2 linked regions of the Anolis sagrei genome follow. The protein of the gene in region 1 interacts with the protein of each later gene in a biochemical or structural test. Links are inferred from orthologs where the notes say so. Each region holds a gene or a part of one and is shown on either strand. Other genes may lie near its edges.

Region 1 (10,171 bases):
CCTATACATGTGTTTTTAAACTAGGTCTCTGTTTAATAGAATTTAGTTCTCTCAGTACAATAGGAAACCTTCAACACAGTTACATTGTGTTAAGTCTTCATCCAGGTAAGAGGACAAAAGGATTCAGGGGATGTTGGTGTCATTCTCAAAGACTAGTCAACCTTATGTACTGGATTGTGAAGCACTATTCAATGAACTGAGAGGATTTTATCAGGAAAACCTTGCAGTATAATGTAGTTACAAAACCGCTGTAAGAGTTAGCTTTGTTTTTCTGAGTTTATCTTCTGAATCCTTTCAGAATAGAGGAGAACATACTGATTAACTAGAATGAATTTCTTTTTCTGAGCCATTTTGAAGGATGTGTATGACGAATTATCTATTTAGGTGAAGGACTTTAGTAAAGGTTCTTTGCAACTACAATGTGAGGATTAAACATTAATAATCACACACAGAGAAAAAATGTAACTATTAATCATTCGCTCTCTAGTGCCCATATAAACTTAAACTAGGAATAGGCTTCTTGTTTGGCGCAAATATATGTGAGCTCTATGTTATTAACCACAACAATTAAATCCTCAGCCAAGGAGCAAATTGTGACTACAATGAATGGCTTGAAAACAGAAGGTCGTTCTTAGGTTGTTGATGGGAAGATCATGGCAGCTTGGCAACCTTTCCAGTTCTTATACAAATGAATGAAGGTCTCCAATCCTAGAGTTTTGCTTAACATTTATGAATGGAGTTTTGTCTTGTTGCTTCCTTGGTACAACTTACAAAATTCCCTAGCTGATGGTCAAATTGATTGGGAAATCTAGAATTTTATAGTGTTTATAAAAGAAAAAAGCAACTTTTCAAAATTCTTGTAATAACAGTAGAGTCTCGCTTATACAACATAAGCGGGCCAGCAGAATGTTGGATAAGCGAAAATGTTGGATAATAAGGAGGAATTAAGGAAAAGCCTATTAAACATCCAATTATGTTATGATTTTACAAATTAAGCAATAAAAACACCATCTTTTACAACAAATCAACAGAAAAAGAAGTTCAAGGCACAGTAACTTATGAAGTAATTACTGTATTTACGAATTTAGCACCAAACCATCGTAATGTACTGAAACAGCTGTGGATTCGGGCAGGACGCAGACTGCGCTGGATAAATCAGAACGTTGGATGAGCAAAGATTGAATAAGTGAGATTCTACTGTTTCCAATTGCTGCTATGCTAGATGTGTTACAATTGTTTTTGACTTCTGTATTCCTTATCACATTGTTGTGCCAATTCGCCCCCTTCTGATCTACAGATTTTCTTTGAAAACTTATGAATAGTTTCATGGAGTAGATATGATGACAGTCTTGTGCCCTTATTAACAAAAGGGTGCTAAAATGATATAGGAGTAGGGAGAGTATTCTGCTGGCGTTTGTTCTGCTAAATGTTTACAGGTGTATGTGCTGAGTTATTAAAACCTGCATGTTTGTGTCCCCCATTTATCATCAGTCAATCAATAAATCAAAATATCTATTGTATTGATGAAGGCTTCTGTAGCCAGAATCATTGGGTTGCTGTGAGTTTTTCGGGCTGCATGACCATGTTCCAGTAGCAAGAAGGGGAATCACACTCATCTTAGTATTCTGGTTCTTGGTTTTTGTTGTGTATTGTTTGAGTGAGTTTTAATGCTGCTGTTTTATACCCTTATGTTTTATTTAATTGGGTTTTATTTGATTGTTATGTTTTGCTATGCTTTATTTTAATTGTGGTTTTTTGTTTTAAAGGATTGTTTTTGTTTTGATGTTTTGTCGACATTTTGTCCCATGCGCCCTGAGTCCCTTCGGGGAGATGGAGGCAGAGTATAAACATAAAGTTATATTATTATTATTATTATTATTATTACTATTGGAACATGGCAATACAGCCCAAAAACTCACAGTAACCCAAAATATCTATTTATCACATTAGATCACAAGATCTGTCGTTGGCACATAATCAATTCAAACAGTTTAAAGCAATGCAAAATGTGATGAGCAATCTGGGTTCTCATTCTTGCCTAACCATACAGGCTAAAAGTTGTCAACAACTCTCCACTTTCAAGAAGAGCTCCATGGGTTCTTAATTAAACTGTGGTTCTGATTATTCATAGCTATCATGTACTTTGCTCATTCTTCCTTTGCTAGTGGATGCTGTAGTTAATATGTAAAGAAGCAATGGTTAATACGTGGAATATCCATCCTAGATAAGGAGAGCGAAGTATGTGGCATTCAGGTCCCCTCTGCCTATTCATTCTTCTTCTTCTAAACACAGCTTAAAGGTAAATTGGGCTTCTAATACTCTAGCAATGCTAGAGATAAAATTGTTCATATTCCTTTACAAAAGCTCCATCTACAATAGCCACCACATCTAACTATAACTAATAGTCATGCATTGTTTGATATCTGATGACCTTCCACATACAGCTGGATTGCAAGTCCCATCATACCTCAGTAGTAGGTTTACTGACTAAGGCAATTTTATAACATTTTTGGTCCATACATTTCCACTCCTTCAACACTTTCGGCACACTATGCTGAATATGTGTTGACATAGGAGAAGGATCAACATCACTGATATTATTAGCATTATCATTATAATAAATCTGGGGCTCAAGGTTCAGTATAACTTTTGAAAACTTCAATAGTCAATCAAGAATCTTTTCAAGCATCATAAACAAGTTCTTTCACAGGTTCTACCAAATATGCAGTTTTACAAGTGCCATATAGACCCCTATCAATATCATTTCAGTAATCCACATATAACAGAATTCGGAATAGGCTCTTGATTTTATAAATTAATCCGTATGGTCCATAGTGAAGTAGTATTGAAAGAAATGAGCATGCTTAGTTCTGTTTGTAAGATTGTAGGCAGGCTTTTATGAAGGAGGAGATAAAATAAAATGTCAGTCTACAGAAGAATCAGGTGGCCTTCTCTGACTTTAGGTTATGTTAAACAAAACTACAAATCTCATGATTCCAGAGCATTGAGGCATGGCAGTCAAGTGATGTCAAACTACATTAATTCTCCAGTGTAAATGCACCCTAGGTATCAAGGAGTTCCTGAAAGATGTAAAACAATAGACTAAATCTAATTTAAAATGCGGAAGATTTGAAAAAGAGGGATTCAAAAATTTTCTTACTTGCCTGTGTAGAAGTTGGATCCTTAGAACATTCTGTACTATCTCATTCTGCTGCATCAGTAAGGATGGCCACACTCTGAATGGGCAAAGGTTGATTTAAAAGATGATTTATTTAACTGGGTTTCATTACTTATGTTGGACTGCTTGATAACCAATCTTTTCCCCACCCTCATTCTTCCCAGCTGAGCACTGAGTTTCCTTTAGTAACTCTAGATTCTGCCCTCGTGGCTCACTGATCATTGCAGTTGCCATGATTTTGCCCCTGCAGCACAGCCAAGACACATCTGATCTTTGATACAGCTGACTTTTCTTTTCGTTCATACAAAGAGGTTCAACTATGGATTTGTAAACATATAGACATTTGTCATGTACCCAATACATCCAAAACCCATAGATTGTTATGATATGAACCATGATTATGGAATGAGTGGACTAGATATTGTTGGATAGCAAGTTCCATCATCCGTCAAAACTGGCCGAACAGGCAAGGACTGATGAAAGCTGCAATCTGGAAGCATTTAGATGAGCACACTTTCCCCATTTTCGTAGACAAACACCATCTGTTGAAACAAAGGCCATAAGCTTCTTCGCCAAAAATATTTTTTACACTCAAATGCAAGATTATCCTTCCAAAGGACATATTACTTTTCTTCCTTCTTCTTACCATACCCATGTGTTTGAAAAATACCCCAAATGGTAGAAATACAAGCTAGAAATCATACCTCACTAACCAAAGCAATGCATTGTAATAATCTTTAGTTAGCCATCTGATAGTATTTTGAAAGGCTGAATACAAAAAGAAGGTATTCCATACCTGGCACGCTTACAGCCTTCCTATGTTCAGAAACATAAAGCTCACATTTGCCTTACAGACTACATCACAGCTTGCTAAATCCACTCCCACTCTCAGCCCTTTTCGAGCAAAGCTACTGACCTAATTCCCATGAAGCACCTGTAAACATTTCGGGCTTATCCACCACAGATTTAAAGTAGCTTAATGATAATTTCCTTTCCCCAGGGGAGCATGGGAATTATAGTTCTTGTGAGGTGAGTGAAGAATCTTTAATTACAGATATAGCAACGGTTAAACTCAAGCACGGGTCCCAACATACAGATGACTCTACACCTTCTTCCCATAACAAGGCATTTGATTATTATTTTTAACTGGCAGTTTCATTTATTCATTGAAATTGTCTCTGCGTGGAAGCTTTCCTGATGACAGTCAGACTGAAGTGGAAATGATCAAGGAATGAAATACAGAGTTGCAAAGACATTTATACATATTATATGTTGTTGATATTATTGGTGTTGCATGCTTTCAAGTCCTTTCTGATTTTTTTTTTTATAACCTTAAGGCTTTTCTGGTGCTGATAGTGTGTGACTCACCCAAGGTCATCCAGTGGGTTTCCATGGTCAAGTGGTGAATCAAATCCTGGTCTCCAGAGTCACAGTTCAGTGTTCAAATCACTACATCACACTGGTTCTTCCCATATACCCTCCAACAATTCTTAGATGAAAACCGAGACATAGGTGAACAAAACAAAACAAAACAAAAAACCAAACAAACATCTGAATATGACAAGATGATAACAGTTATTAATGAGAAAGAACACAAAATCCAGGATAGAGTGAAGCTTTTGTCTGATGGGGATGGCTATACTCCTCTTCTATTCCCTTCTCCCAATGTGCTGTGTTAATTGACGGCAAACTACCTGTTCATGCTGGATGGGGTTACATTCCCAATGAAATCTCAGATTTTACAGCTTGAGTCCTCTCTGGAGTTGGATCTGAGCTGAGCTGTTCAGAAGTGGCAAGGAATTTATTTGTAGCTAAAACCAGTAAACCAGTTGTGCTTGTTTCTGGAGATGTCAGACCTGTTCATGGTAACAGAAACTGGAGAGCATCCAAAATGCTACAGCCAGGCTCCTGATTTGACTGATCGACAAGGGATAGAGCCTTCTCAGCGGATACTCCCCACTTCTGGAAATATTTCCAGAGGAGGCTTGGTAGACCTCTTCCTCCTCTCTTTCCTGCAGCAAAGACTTGGGCTGGAATTCACTGATGCAGTTATGGATGCACAACCTAGAAGTATGTATTTATTACATTTACTTAGGCGATCCCTCATAGTCCGAGGATGATGGTCTTCCAAGGTCGGTGTTCGGTGTGGGTCCATAGGTGACTGTGGAGCCCTATTCTTGATCTACATCTTTTCCCACAGTGAGGGCAATGGTTTCCAGGTGGAAGGCGGTCCTGGTCGGGGTTGGCTTGATGTGCCTTCCTCTTGGCACATTTCTCTCTTTCATCATCCATTCGTGCCTCTTCAAATTCTGCAGCACTGCTGGTCACAGCTGACCTCCAACTGGAGCATTCAAGGGCCAGGGATTCCCAGCATTTATTACAAGAACATTAATGATTCCTATGTGTTGCATAGTTTAGAGGATATCTAGAATTCACAGAAATCCCCTATCTCCACTTATAGAGCACTGCAAGTGACAGGGGCCCATCTCCCTGTTAATTTGCATCTCCCTCTCATGCAAGTGATCTGTGACATGAGGTGTATATTTGTATATATATTTACAACACCAGTCACCTGCTACCAGCGATATTTGACAGGTTGTGGACACCTAACCAAATAGATACTTGATATAAAACATAGCCTTCAGATAATAGTTGTATTGCAATAATAGATATGGAATATGTGAAATAGCTATTGGAATGTCCCTGAACTATGATTATGGGTGGCTTCATTTTTAATATTGAATGTAATGTTTTTAAATGTTTAATGTATATTAATTTTATGAGCCTCCAGTGGCACAGCGGGTTAAACTGCTGAGCTGCTAAACTTGCTGATTGAAAGGTTGTGGTTTGAATTTGGGGAGTGGGGTGAGCTCCCACTGTTAGGCCCAGCTTCTGCCAACCTATCAGTTTGAAAGCATGCAAATGTAAGTAGATCAATAGGTAGTGCTCTGGCAGGAAGGTAGCGGCAGGAAGGTAACGGCGCTCCATGCAGTCATGCTGGCCACGTGACCTTGGAGGCATCTACAAACAATGCCAGCTCATCGGCTTAGAAATGGAGATCAGCACCCCCCCCCCCCCCCAGAGTCAGACATGACTAGACTTAGTGTCAGGGAAAACATTTACCTTTACCTTTACATTTATGTATTAATTTTAATTTTAATTTAACTGTTCATTGGAATTGTATGTTGCTTTAAGGCATTGAATAATTGCCTGTATGTAGGCTGCCTTGAGTCCCCTTCAGGGTTGAGAAAGGCAGAGTATAAATAGGGTAAATAAATAAAATAGTTTCTGTTTACAGATTTATGAACAGATAAGAAACAATTGTGTTCAGTGAATTTCTTTCCTATCAAAAAACAATGGTCCTTTCCTCATTTTTTCCTCTGGTTTTTAATCAATAGTTTGAAACTTAGTTTATTAGTTTAAAAAGCAGCAGTATTTGTTTGTATAAAGAGATTTCCATTGTGTGAAACCCAACATTGTGTCTTATTTCACTTGTGCATAAATCCAGCAGTGCTCCAACTTCACATTTGCGGGAGTAAGGGTTCTCATGTGCTGTTTTCCATTTATAATTCTCCCATATTATCCTATTGTTTCTCTTCTGCCTTCTTATGAATCAGGAGAAAGACCATGTGGCTTTCCTGATGTTGGATAGAAATGCCCAACGATTCTGAGCAACACAGGCCCCTTCCACACTGCCATACAATATCCAGATTATCTGCTTTGAACTGGATTATATGGCAGTGTGGAAGAGGCCACAGTTGTTGAGAGTGACAGTACGACAGCGTTTGTAAGACCACATTCTTCCCAGCAGTGGTTTAAAGGAAATAATATAAAAGGTAATTGTGACACTCAGCCAATAGAAACTCCAGCCAGGGGAAAAGTTAAGCACAAAAGAGTCCATATATTTTGCCAATAAAGGCAGGAAAACTATAATTCAGTTCTCATTTTACCACAAACTCTTTGTCTTTTCCTCTCTGTGGAGAGAGATATTTTTGGATAATTTCTGGTCAGCCACACATAAAAGACACAATATATTAGTTCTCTTTGCGCAACAATGTTTTCTCCAGGTGAATAATTGCTTGACATTTCTTGGATGGAGAGTTACAATTGCTTATCTTGAATTCCCATCATAGGTCATTTCAAGTTTAAGGCATTCCTTCATAAGATTCTCCCACACAATTTATGACAGAATAAAATAGACGCTGCTTGGTCTGCTTGTGCTAAGTCCACAAAAAGGAATTACCTTACATTCTTACTTCAACTGCCATTTGATTTGTGTCTCTTTTGTTAAGGAGCATTCATATAGAGGCACCAAGGCATTACCCCTTATAGCTTAGCAATTTTACAACCATACAAGCATTTTTCTTCATTGTTAGCTGAATGTTGTATGCTACAGGTTTGTACTCCAAGAGTAGTGGAATGGTGAGTAGTTCCTGATGGCTGCTCTGGATCTTGGAATGCCCTTCCAGAACCTCTAGGTGTTTTGGACTTCAGCTTTTACAACTCCTAATGGCTGTTAAGTTGGCTGGGATTTCTGGGAGTTGAAGTTCAAAACATTTGGAGGACTTTTTGGTGTGGCACGTTAACTGAAAATCACGTGGCTTCCTATCAGTGAACTGAGACTAGGAGAGGCAATTATTTACGTGTCCAGATGTTATTGAAGTATCTGCTATGGCAGCATTAGTCATCATAGATAATGATGAAAAATGCTAGAAGATTTAGTCTCACACAATATGATTCTCATCCCAGTGTAGGGAGGTAAAAGTATTTTTTTTCTCGTGTCAGGATCGACTTGAGAAACTGCAAGTCGCTTCTGGTGTGAGAGAATTGGCTGTCTGCAAGGATGTTACCCAGGGGATGCCTGAATGTTTTGATGTTTTACCATCCTTATGGGAGGCTTCTCTCATGTCCCCACATGGTGAGCTAGAGTTGACAGAGGGAGCTCATCCGTGCTGTCCCCAGATTTGAAACTCCGACCTGTTGGTCTTCAGTCCTGCCGGCACAAGGGTTTAACCCATTTCACCACTGGGGGCTCCAGGTAAAAGTATAAGATAACTTCTTATGGTCCTAATGAAATGAATGATAACTAGATACATTTTATGCTTATAGAATTCAAAGACATGGCCTTGTTAGTCAGGATAAGTACACAAAGGGATACTGTAAGATATCTTAGCACCTTTGAGACTAAAACTTGTTGCATAAGCTTTCATAGAACAGATTTATTTATTTTATTTATTTCCAACATTTCTAGCCCATCCTTCTCAACCCCCGAATGGGGACTCAGGGCAGCTTATAATGGCAGCAATTTGTTGCGACACCATACAACACATTACGTACAACATTATACAAAAGCGAAAACATTAGATTAAAATACATTTAAAACATTATTATCATGTAGCCGAATCAAAGTCTAATTTAGCAACCGGTGACCCAGTCCAAAGCCTGTCATAGTCAAAATTCCAACATTATGATTACTGTCAAACCTACTGTCCAACGGCGTGGTCCCAAAACCATGTTTTGAGCTTCTTTCTAAAAGAGAGGAGGGATGGAGCTGACCTAATCTTGCTACAGTATGCATTTACTGGATCAATTCATTTCATAAAGTAGACTTGGGATGCATCTACTCTGTAGCATTAAGGTAATTTGATACCACTTAAATAACCCTGGATTAATGCAGAGAAAGCCAAAGACTTTGAAAAACCATGTTTTGAGCTTCTTTCTAAAAGAGAGGAGGGATGGAGCTGACCTAATCTTGCTACAGTATGCAGAGAAGGCCAAAGACTTTGAAAAACTACAGCTCCTAAAATACCGTAGCATTGAGCCATGGCTGTTAAATTAATGTCAAACAGTGTTACTTCTACGGTACACCCTGAGTCCATGAAAGCTTAGGTCAGAAACTTATTGCACTCAGTTAGTTTTAGAGGTGCCTCAGTACCCCTTTGGTTACATTCTATGCTGTTTGTTAGCTAGAAACACATAATTGCTGGTATCTTATTTGTGACAAATGCAGAGGTACATCTTGCATATGCTATCTTTTTGAGTTGTGAAGGCTGGTACTTCTTTCTTCTGCAGTTGCAAAAGGCCTTCACTTGGACTCACAGTTGTTTTATGACAGTCCCTTCCTGCCATTTCATTACTGAAATCTCAGAATCATGTGGCTATCTTCCTATATCCAGATGCAGACCAATGACATCACCTGTTATGACTGCTAGAGCTGTGGTTCTCAACCTTTAGCGTCTCTGACTATTGGTCAAGGTGGCTGGGGCCCTTAGAAAGTGCTTGGGATGATGAGGATTTGAGAACCACTGCTCTAGAGAACTCCAGCAGATCTGAAAGGCCTTCTTCAGCTATAATATACCACTTTAACTGCCAATGTTGTGGGATTCTGGTATTTTCAATTTCAGATAGCTCTGGTGCCACAACAAACTACAAATCCCAGGAATACCTAGAAGGGAACCATGGGAGTTATATCAGTGCAGTGAAGCAGGCAAACCAGCATGGTAATTGAATTCCCTATCATACCATTCTGTGCGCATCTTGTTGTTGATCTGCTTCACCACTTCCCATGACTCTCCCATCCCTGTTAACACATAAAACCCATCAATATATCTAAATCCTGCAGTGTTGCCACCACCTACCTTGGTATGATGGGTCCCTTTTGGGTCTTTGCTAGCATGCCAACAGTAAAGTGATGTCTGAGGAAAGGTTTTTTGTCTTCTCTCCCTCTTCCCCCATTATTCTAAAGTTGGTGAGTTGGTGTGTGTGTATGTATATGTGTGTGTGTGTGTGTGTGTATGTATATATATATATATAATTGGCTTTTTTGTTTATAAATTCTGGAATTGTGTAATCTCACTAAAAATTTTAAAAATAATAAAATAACGGGGGTGAGAAGGGCGGGGTAAAAGTAACTGAAATAAATAAATAAATAAATAAATAAATAAATAGTAGGATTAGGAAGTCACAGTGTGCGGGATGTAACCACTGCACTAG
Region 2 (9,899 bases), on another chromosome or scaffold:
TGCCCCTAAACCCAGTTAATGTGTAGGGCTGACTTGTACTTCTTCTACCAGAACTTCTGTGACTTTATAGTAGTGCAGTGACATTTTGAAAATCAACCAGAATGTCACTAAGGGTTGTTGTTGTTGTTTATTCGTTCATTTGCTTCCGACTCTTAGTGACCTCATGGACCAGCCCATGCCAGAGCTCCCTGTCAGCCGTCACCACCCCCAGCTCCTTCAAAGTCAAGCCAGTCACTTCAAGGATAACATCCATTCATCGTGCCCTTGGTCGGCCCCTCTTCCATTTTACCTCCATTTTCTCCAGCCTCAGTATCTTCTCCAAGCTTTCCTTTCTTCTCATGATGAGGCCAAAGTACTTCATCTTTGCCTCTAATATCCTTCCCTCCAGTGAGCAGTCGGGCTTTATTTCCTGAAGCATGGACTGGTTGGATCTTCTTGCAGTCCAAGGCACTCCCAGAATTTTCCTCCAACACCACAGTTCAAAAGCCTCTATCTTCCTTCATTCAGCCTTCCTTAGGGTCCAGCTCTTGCATCCATCGGTTACTACGGGGAATGCCATTGCTTTAACTATGCGGATCTTCATTGCCAGTGTGATGTCTCTACTCTTCATTATTTTATCGAGATTGGTCATTGTTCTTCTCCCAAGAAGTAAAAGGGAAGGAATAATATTTCAGGATCCTTCAGGGCTCTCTGACTACCTCAAGAAAGAAAAAGCCACCATTATTGTCTTTGGTCCTAATCAACATGGCATCTTTCTGTAATTTTGTTTGCCTTATTCTGTGGACCCTCACAGCTATCATACATTGTGTGTGCTTCCTGTAATAAGATAGCTGTTATGGGGAAATCTTTTCACTAGCTGCCTGTCAAGAGAGGTGTTAAAGGTACAGGAGATTTGCCAAACAAATAAATAAAATTAAAATAAAATTAAAAATGTCTGGCAGCTTTGTGCCTACACATGATTGATAGAAAAAATATGCTGCTATATGATTTTGGCTGCTAAACAATCTTCACAGCAGAGAGGTTGCTAATAGAAAAATATGATTTGTTTACATGGCTTCAAATGTGTGAAACTCCTAGTTGTTCGCCAGCACTAACTAGGGAGCAAGCCCTCTTGAACTCAGTAGACCTTACCTTTGAGCGAATGCCCATAAAGTAATTTGTAGGAAGTAGCATGCCTGCTCCAGATACCTCCATTCCTCTGACCTCCTTAAAGCAACTTGTATAATCAAGGCAGGGAAGAACCAGGATTTCAGTCTCAAATGGAGATAGGTAACTCTGAAACCACTCTCCTGAACATACTGACTAGCGCTTGATCTACACTGCCCTATATCCTAGGATCTGATCCCAGATTATCTTTTTATCCCATATTTTCTGGCAGTAAAGACTCACATTATCCTGTTCAAAGCAGATAATCTGGGATCAAATCCTGGGATATAGGGCAGTGTAGATCCAGCCATAGTCAGTATGTTCAGGAGAGTGGTTTCAGAGTTCTTTATCTCCAAAATAAGGGGATACTTTAGGGCTCGATATCTAGCTAAGTGCAGAGGAGACATGGAGGAAGTGAGGTGCAAGACATCCCAGCAGTGCACATGTAGTCCAGGCCCACGAGGACCTTGAGATCGTCTGGGGAGGCCCTTCTCTCGATCCCGCCTGCCTCACAGGCACGTCTGGCAGGGACGAGGGAGAGGGCCTTCTCGGTGGTGGCCCCCTGGCTGTGGAACACTCTCCCTGCAGACATCAGACAGGCGCCCTCCCTCATGTCCTTCCGAAAAAGCCTCAAGACATGGCTGTTCGAGAAGGCATTTAATTAAGTGCTATAACAATGTGGTAAAGATGACTGGAATGGAACAAGGAATATGAGATTGGTTATGATTCTACTATGAGACGAAGCGGATTTTTAGTGTAGTTTGTAATTGTTATGTAGTTTATATGTTGTTGTAATTGCTTCTTTGTAAACTGTCTTTTACATGTGTGCACACCGCCATGAGTCGCCCTAAAGGGCTGAGAATGGCGGTTAATAAATGCATCAAATAAATAAATAAATAAATAAATATTTCATAAATGGCCTGGATTTGACACAAAAATGTCGCATATGGGGTTACTCCAGGGCTGATTTAAAATAGGCTAACCTCCAGTCTTCTGCTGCTGATCCAGCAGTCATTCAAATTCCCTCCCTTACCTTTATTCAAACATATAAAGAAGCATTAACATTTGAAACATTCATTGTCCTGTGGTCACCTACACCATCAATTTCACTGGACTGGCCATGTTGTCCAAATGCCCGATCACCGTCTTCCATAGCAGTTACTATACACCCAACTCAAGAATTGATGGACAGGAAAAGAGACTTAAAGATAGGCTTAAATCCAGCCTTTAAAACTGTGGCATAGACACTGAGAACTGGAAAGGCCTGGCCCTTGAGAGCTCTAACTGGAGGTCAGCTATGACCAGCAGTGATGCAGAATTCAAAGAGACATGAATGGAGGGCAAAAGGGAGAAGTGTGCCAACAGAAAGGCATGTCAAACCAACCCTGACTGGGGTCACCTTCTACCTGGAAACTCATGTCCTCACTGAGGGTGAGTATATGGAGCAAGAACAGGGTTCCACAGCCACCAAGACACTAAACTTGGAGGACCATCATCCTCGGACTACGAGGGATTGCCTAAGTAAGTAAATAAGTAAGTAAAGGTCACCTAGAAATGGTCAAATCTTAAGAAAGTTATGTTTGGACTGTAGTTCTCCAAATCTCTTAGCAATCATGGCCAGAGGTGGGTTTTTTAAAAAAACTTTTTCAAGTTCACGAAACAGTCATATATCTGCTTTTTGCCATCTTTTCTTTTATGGCTAGTGCTTAAAAAAATTCCCAGGATTGCAAAAAAGCGAGTTGAAATGTATTATATAGCTAGCTACCCTACACACTGTTATGCCATTTTAACTGCCATGGCTTGATCTTATGGGATATATAGTTTGGTGAGATATTTGGAATTCTCTACCAGACTTTAAGGAAGTATACTAGAAAATCCTAAGTATCTCATTGAACTGCAAATCCCAGAATTCCCATAAGAGCCATGGCACTTTAACTAGCATCAAACTGCTATAATTATGTGAAATGGATACACCTGGGTTGGAAGAAGAGAAATGTGACCATCCCTACATTCATATCTGTTTGTGAAACTGGTGTCATGAGACTCAGCTCCTATATCTTTGGGTGTCTAGTCCTGAAGATTACAAAGAAGCACAAAAAATCAAAACAAACATATGAGATATTTTCTCAGTGAGTAAAATCAATGTTGCCCAAAAGATTTCCCATAACCAGACAAGAAGACCTTAGTGCATATCTATCTCTTGCCGGAATTTACTACCTTGTCTCTTCCGATTGACCTATAACCCATTTGTACACTTTCTTCAGCTCGTGTGGACCTTCCAAGAACATAGCAACACAGGCAATCCTTCTTCTTGAAAGCACAATAAATCACACAAATACATGCAGATTCACCTTAAAAAATGTAAAGCCCACTTTACTTAAAGTTGTTTGGCTTTGCAATAAATGTGAATGGTCTTAAGACGTCGAATTACCATTCTGAGTGGAGCTGCATTGAGGTCGTGGGGCTGCAAATGGGAAATGTACCTCTTGAGGGTTACTCAGCCCAGCCCTCTGAGTGTAGGGTCTCATGCTGTGTGTTTGGTGACTATGCTCTGACCTTTGCATGTTGACAGGGAAGCATAAGCCAATGGATTTACTCCCCAAAAAGTATATATTGGATTTCTCCTTAATTCTTTCCCATTCCTGGGCCATAGAATAAGTCATCGCAAGGCTGGGTGTCTTTCAGGGCTCCTTTAAGAACAGAAGACTCTTTTGCAGAAGTGAGAAAAAGGGAAGAAGACAGGTAAGAAAGGTCATACTTATAACTACTACTATTTGAGTTTGCTACTAAAAATGTGCAGAAGCAGCTTTGCTCTCGCCCATTATCTGTCCCAACCCCAGGTTTCTAAACATGCTCTAAATTGACTTCTTTCTCTTCTTATAAGCCCTAGGTTAATGCCAGAAAAGTACTTTGGGGCTGAGTTCTCTATAATGGAGTTATCTCTTTGTTTAATGCTACACAGGATAAAAGGGGAGGGAGGTATTACCATTCCTATTTCTTACTGTTGGCTGTTAGAGGTTAACCTAAAACATTGTTTAAAATTGTGTTGTCGAAGGCTTTCATGGCCAAAATCACTGGGTTGCTATGAGTTCTCCAGGCTGTATAGCCAATGTTCCAGAAGCATTCGCTCCTGACGTTTCACCCACATCTATGGGAAGCATCCTCAGAGGTTGTGAGGTCTGTTGGAAACTAGGCAAGTGGGGTTTATATATCTATGGAGTGTCCAGGGGTGGGAGAAAGAACTTTTGTCTGCATGAGGGAAGTGTGAATGCTGTGACTGATCAGCTTCAAAGGCTTGCTACTTCCCGCCTGAGGGAATCCTTTGATGGGAGATGATTAGTAGCAAAATTACAGTAACGAAAATAATGTTATGGTTGGGGTTCACCACAACATGAGGAATTGTAGTAAGGGGTCATGGCATTGGGAAGGCTGAGAAACATTGCCTAAGAAGAAAGAGGTTGAGAATTAAGTCAAGATGTCTAAGGAGCTATAGTTCCAGGGAGATGGGCATAGAGCTCTCGAGCAGAGAATTCTATGTATCCCAGCAAACTATAAATCCCAAATAGAGTGCGCTATCAGAGCAACTTGCTTAAAAGTCGGCTTGTGAAAGCTGGGCTGGGTAGGCATGAGAATCTAGCATTTGTGAAACCCTCATTCCTCCAACTTAGGGTGGGAAACCTATAGCCCTCTAGTATTGTTGGACTTGTTTTTGTTATTATATGCCTTGAAGTTGTATGTATAGCAATCCTACCTTAGGGTTTTCTAGACAAGAATTATTCAGATGTGATGTGCCATTGACTTTCTGAGATTGAAAGAGTGTGACCTGCACAAGATAAGTTAACCAGTTTCCATGGCTGAGTGGAACTGTGTTCCCTTGGAGTGCTATCTGACACTCAGTTAGTACCTTTTGCCACTACACCATATTGATTCACTGCTGGATTGCTACTCCATTATACTAGACAGCATAGTCATTGCTGAGGAATGCTGGAAAGTTACAGTTCAACACCCTCTGGAAGATTACCCCATTCCTATCCTAGTCTACCCGCATCCCATTCTCATGTGGTCAAGTAAATTCCCAAAAAGCCCCTAAAATTCAGTTGTAAGCAAGGGAAAAACTGGCTTAGAATATCCCCTGAACATTTTCCTCATCTCTGCTCCCAACTTGTTCATGAATAGATTGTAATTATTAGGAAGAAGGTGAATGGATGAGGATGCTACTTATTACACTTAAATCTAGTGGCCCATATTTCCCCCTCTAATTAACTTCTTTATCGGAATTGAACTCCAAAATAACCAAAAATGTAATAATGATAAGCTATTGTTCATCTGCTAACATGTATCCTTTGCGTCTTTATCTCTTTGCTTCCAGTTTTATTTGCGTTTGCTTAATTAAAACATTGGAATATTAGCCCCACATTATTTTCTGGATCCTCATACTAGAATTTTGCTGAGGTGCATTAGACTTCATCGGTATTTAAACCTTTATCTGTAAGAGGCAGATAAAGTTTGTTGCACATGGTATTGGATTCACATCATTTTAATAGGCAATTGTTTGCCGGTGGGAAGGAGCCAAGATTGCATTTGCCACATAGCACGCTAATTAAACAGATTGGTTGCCACCCAAGTTGCACTGTCAAATAAGTTACCATTGAGGTCTTGGATCAGAAAGCAGGAATATAAGAGAAGTTCTGAGAATTGTCACGGCAAGGTGTGGAATTTAACACAAATGTCTCACTTGTGGGTTAATTGCAGGAGAGGGTCGCTGCTGAAGTGTACAGCTCAGGAAATCTGTGTCGCTCTAAGCTTGGCTTATCTGTTTGATCGAATCGCCATGCCTCCCTCGGGCATCAGTTTCATTCAAGACCCACGACTTTTGAACAACAGTCCCAGGAAGGAGAGGAGGAAGTCTCAGACCCAACAAGTTGGCTCAAAGTTTCAGAAGGAGATCCAGGTGATGCTCTATGCTGTCCTGGTGGACTTGTGTGAAAAATTCACTTTTTTCGGCATTGTCTGCAACATGATCCTTTTCTGCACCATCAAACTTGGCTACCACAACTACCAGGCAGCCATGATCAACCTTTGCTTTTCAGGTGCCTGCATGGTGACCCCTTCTCTGATGGGCTGGCTTGCTGAAAGTCCGGGGGGACGAATCAAATTGGTATATATCTGTGCATTGCTGCATTTTATAGGTAAGTTGTACCTTGTTGTGCTATTCTCTGACAGTTGTTTGTAATGCAAGGTGTGTTCAGACTGTGGCTTCTTAAAATCTGGTGCTCCTATATCAAAATGGAGGTGCCTGCAAGTAACAAAGCACCTATAGCCCCATGGGCTATATGCACTGCAGAATTATAGCAATTTGTCACCACTTTAACTGTCATAGCTCTATGCCATTAAATTCTGGGATTTGTAGTTTAAATCCAAGGATTTCATAGGATTAAGCCAACATGGTTAAAGAAGTGTCAAACTGCTATAATTCTGCAGTGTGCTTGGGAAGATGGCTTCCATCTTCCAGCCAGAGAAACAATAATAGCATATAGTTGATGTTGCTGAAATTATTGCTCGAGAGGTACAGAAGAGATTTAACACATTTGGGTATCTTGGGTTAAATCATATATGGGAATCATGCATCCTTGTGGAGACTGCTGAACTACAAGTCTGAGGAGGATTCCTCACTATGGTGGCTGGAGCTGCTGGTACTTACAGGCCAATCATATTTGGAGAGTCTGAGAAAGAGAACAGTACAATTGTGTGTGAAATTCATTTCTCCCGTTTCCTTCGTTTCTTTCGTGTCCTTCATTATTTCAGGAGATTGTAACAGGAAGTCCTCTCCCCCTATGAAAATCAGCTTGACACAAAAGCAAGCAGGAGCTGGTCCCAGCTCCTTGTCTGCTTTTTGGCATCACAAAGTAAGAAGTGCTCAGCTGCAAGCCCTGGCAGGTATGGGCACTCCTACACACCACACACACACACTCTCCTTGGAAACTCTGTGTGTGTGTGTGTGGTGTGCAGGCCCAGAATGCCCATGCCTGCCAGGTGTGCGTGCTCCTGCACACCACACACACACACACACATTCCAAGAAGAGAGTGTGTGTGGAATGCAGGAGCGCTCACACTTGCCAGGTCCTACAGCCAAGTAGAGTAGAAGCAGCAGGTAAGAAGAAGCCTCATTAAAGTGTGTGCTGGGAAGGGTAGACTGGATGAGAAGCCTCCCTCCCACTACCCCAATAATGGGCTGATAGAAAATTGATCTTCTGATATCAGAGAGCAAAAACTGATGTCTGCCTTCCTGATTTCAGGAGGCTCCCAAAAATGGATCAGGGCCTCCAACAAATGCTGAAGCATGAAACAGGTCAGGGTTTACCCTAAATGCACAACCCTAGAGAACATACCGTTTAATTGATTGAAATGGATGGTACTTATTAGGGTTGGCAAATGGAGGTCCCATTAATTTCACTGAATCCACTTTTATTGTGACTAAAATTTGATTTAGCCTCTTATCTGGTGAGTTGGTGTACATCTGCCAGACTGTAAACTAGAGAGGGCTCCTGTACATTTAATATTTGTGAAGAAGTGAACATCGGTAGATGCTGTTTACTGCCTGATTTTGTGGCAAGTGACTTCCTCTTCTACACAACCATCAGATCACATATGTGAAATGCCACATCATTTTATGTAGCCTGCAAGGCTTTCAATGCCACAGCAACATCATTACATTTATACAATTTTAAAATGTCCCTTTGAGGGCAACCATAAAGCTGATGTGTTGAAAACGAGTTTCCCTGCATTAGAGGTACAGGAGCTTTCTCCAGTTTCTAGTTGGTAACTCTATGCAAAAAAACCCCCCAAACTTTTTTATACGGTGGTTGCAAACCTATAGTCCTCAAAGGATTTGGCACTTTATCTCCCAGAAGCCCCAGCGAGCTTTGCCGCCTGTCAGGAATTCTGGGAGCTGAAATCCATGAATCATAGAATCATAGAGTTGGAAGAGACCTCATGGGCCATCCAGTCCAACCCCCTGCCAAGAAGCAGGAATATTGCATTCAAAGCGCCCCTGACAGATGGCCATCCAGCCTCTGTTTAAAAGCTTCCAAAGAAGGAGCATCCACCATACTCTGGGGCAGAGAGTTCCACTGCTGAACAGCTCTCACAGTTAGGAAGTTCTTCCTCATGTTCACCTGGATTACCAAATATTGGGAACAACTGCTTTAAAGTTTGGAAATGCTGTTTGTTTTTTAACTACAGCTTTGCTGCCTGGGGGGATTCTGGGAATTTTACTCCAAAGTAACTTTTAAAAAATCTGGTTTTATGTATAGCCTTTAATCCTGCCCTTCTTTCCGTCTCATGTGCCCATCTCTCCTGTTGCAGGTACAGCCCTGTTGCCTGTTGTTGCCTTCCCATTTGAAGATTTTTTCATAGACAAACGCTATGTCCTTCACACCTTGCCAAAGAGGGAACAAAAGGCACTGTTTTACATTGGACTGCTTGCCACCTGTCTTGGTTCAGGAGGAATAAGGGTCCTAGTGTGTCCTCTCCGCCTGTATAATCTTGATGAAACGGGTCAAAAGGAGCGCCTGCCATTTTTCAACTGGTCAGTATCTGTTGGAATGGGAGAATAAGCATGGGTTGGGGTGTCATTGGGAAGATCTTGGTAGCTGAATATGCCATATTTCATCTAACGAAATGTTATTCTGACTGCTACTTTGGGAATTTCGAAGAACGTCCAGCCATGTCTGATAGAATTTCACACACGACTCTTCTCAATAGAGCATAATCAATATATCTGATGCTAAGGAATATATCCCCCATTTCTCTCTACTCCATTGGTTCTCAACCTCCTAGTGCTGCAATCCCTTAACACAGTTTCTCATGTTGTGGTGACCTCCAACAATAACATTATTTTTGTTACTACTTCATAACTATAATTTTGCTACTGTTTTGAATCATAATGCAAATATCTGATATGCAGGATGTATTTTCATTCATTGGATGAAATTTGGCATACATACCTGTATGCTCAAATTTGAATACTGGTGGAGTTGGGGGAGAATGATTTTGTCATTTGGGAGTTGCTGGGATTCATAGTTCACCTACAATCAAAGAGCATTCTGAACTCCACCAACAATGGAATTGAACCAAACTTGGCACACAGTACTCTCATGATCAACAGAAAATACTGGAAGGGTTTGGTGGGCATTGACCTCTACCACTTGAGTTAGCCCTAATTAAAATACTTTTCCTGAAGAGATTTCAATCTGTATATGTTTATTTTTAAGTATATTGGCAATCTCATATCTCTGATCTGTCGGTTTTCCTGAAAAACATAGAAAAAACAGTAGTAATCTACCTAGAGCCTTCTCATGCAAGAAAGCAGATGGTGGGATACTTTTGTGTTGGCTCTCATTAGACATGCAACGTGGGGGCCATTCACACTATACAGTTAGAGCATTATGTCTCCACTTTAACTGCCATGATTTCATCCTATGGTATCCTGTGATTTGTCAGTTGGTAAGGCACTGAAACTCTCTAAGAATTCTGAATTGTTGTGTGCCTTCAAATCATTTCCACCTTATGATGACCCTAAGGTGAACCTATTGTGAGCTGTAATGGGCTGAGAGTGTATGACTTGACCAGAGTCAACCCAGTGGACTTTCAGGACCAAGTGAGGATTCCAATCTTGGGCTCCAGAGATAGTCCAGCACTCAAACCAATGTGCCACACTGGTGTGCCCCTTCCTAAACTGCCAATTCTAGGTT

The links.
Region 2: the proteins of PDZK1 (region 1) and SLC15A5 interact in a test that uses a peptide from one of them, tested with the Homo sapiens proteins (2 studies listed by IntAct, with this or other methods). The link is inferred for Anolis sagrei from reciprocal best matches to the Homo sapiens genes PDZK1 and SLC15A5.

What each region holds. Positions count from the first base shown.
Region 1 is NC_090023.1:53,629,398-53,639,568, forward strand, and holds the start of PDZK1 (Na(+)/H(+) exchange regulatory cofactor NHE-RF3), read right to left. Parts: upstream 4,100-10,171; 5' UTR 3,975-4,099; intron 3,237-3,974; 5' UTR 3,165-3,236; exon of another isoform or gene 3,161-3,164; intron 1-3,160. UniProt on the Homo sapiens protein: A scaffold protein that connects plasma membrane proteins and regulatory components, regulating their surface expression in epithelial cells apical domains.
Region 2 is NC_090025.1:181,823,295-181,833,193, reverse strand, and holds the start of SLC15A5 (solute carrier family 15 member 5), read left to right. Parts: upstream 1-5,914; 5' UTR 5,915-5,977; coding exon 5,978-6,335; intron 6,336-8,511; coding exon 8,512-8,734; intron 8,735-9,899. UniProt on the Homo sapiens protein: Proton oligopeptide cotransporter.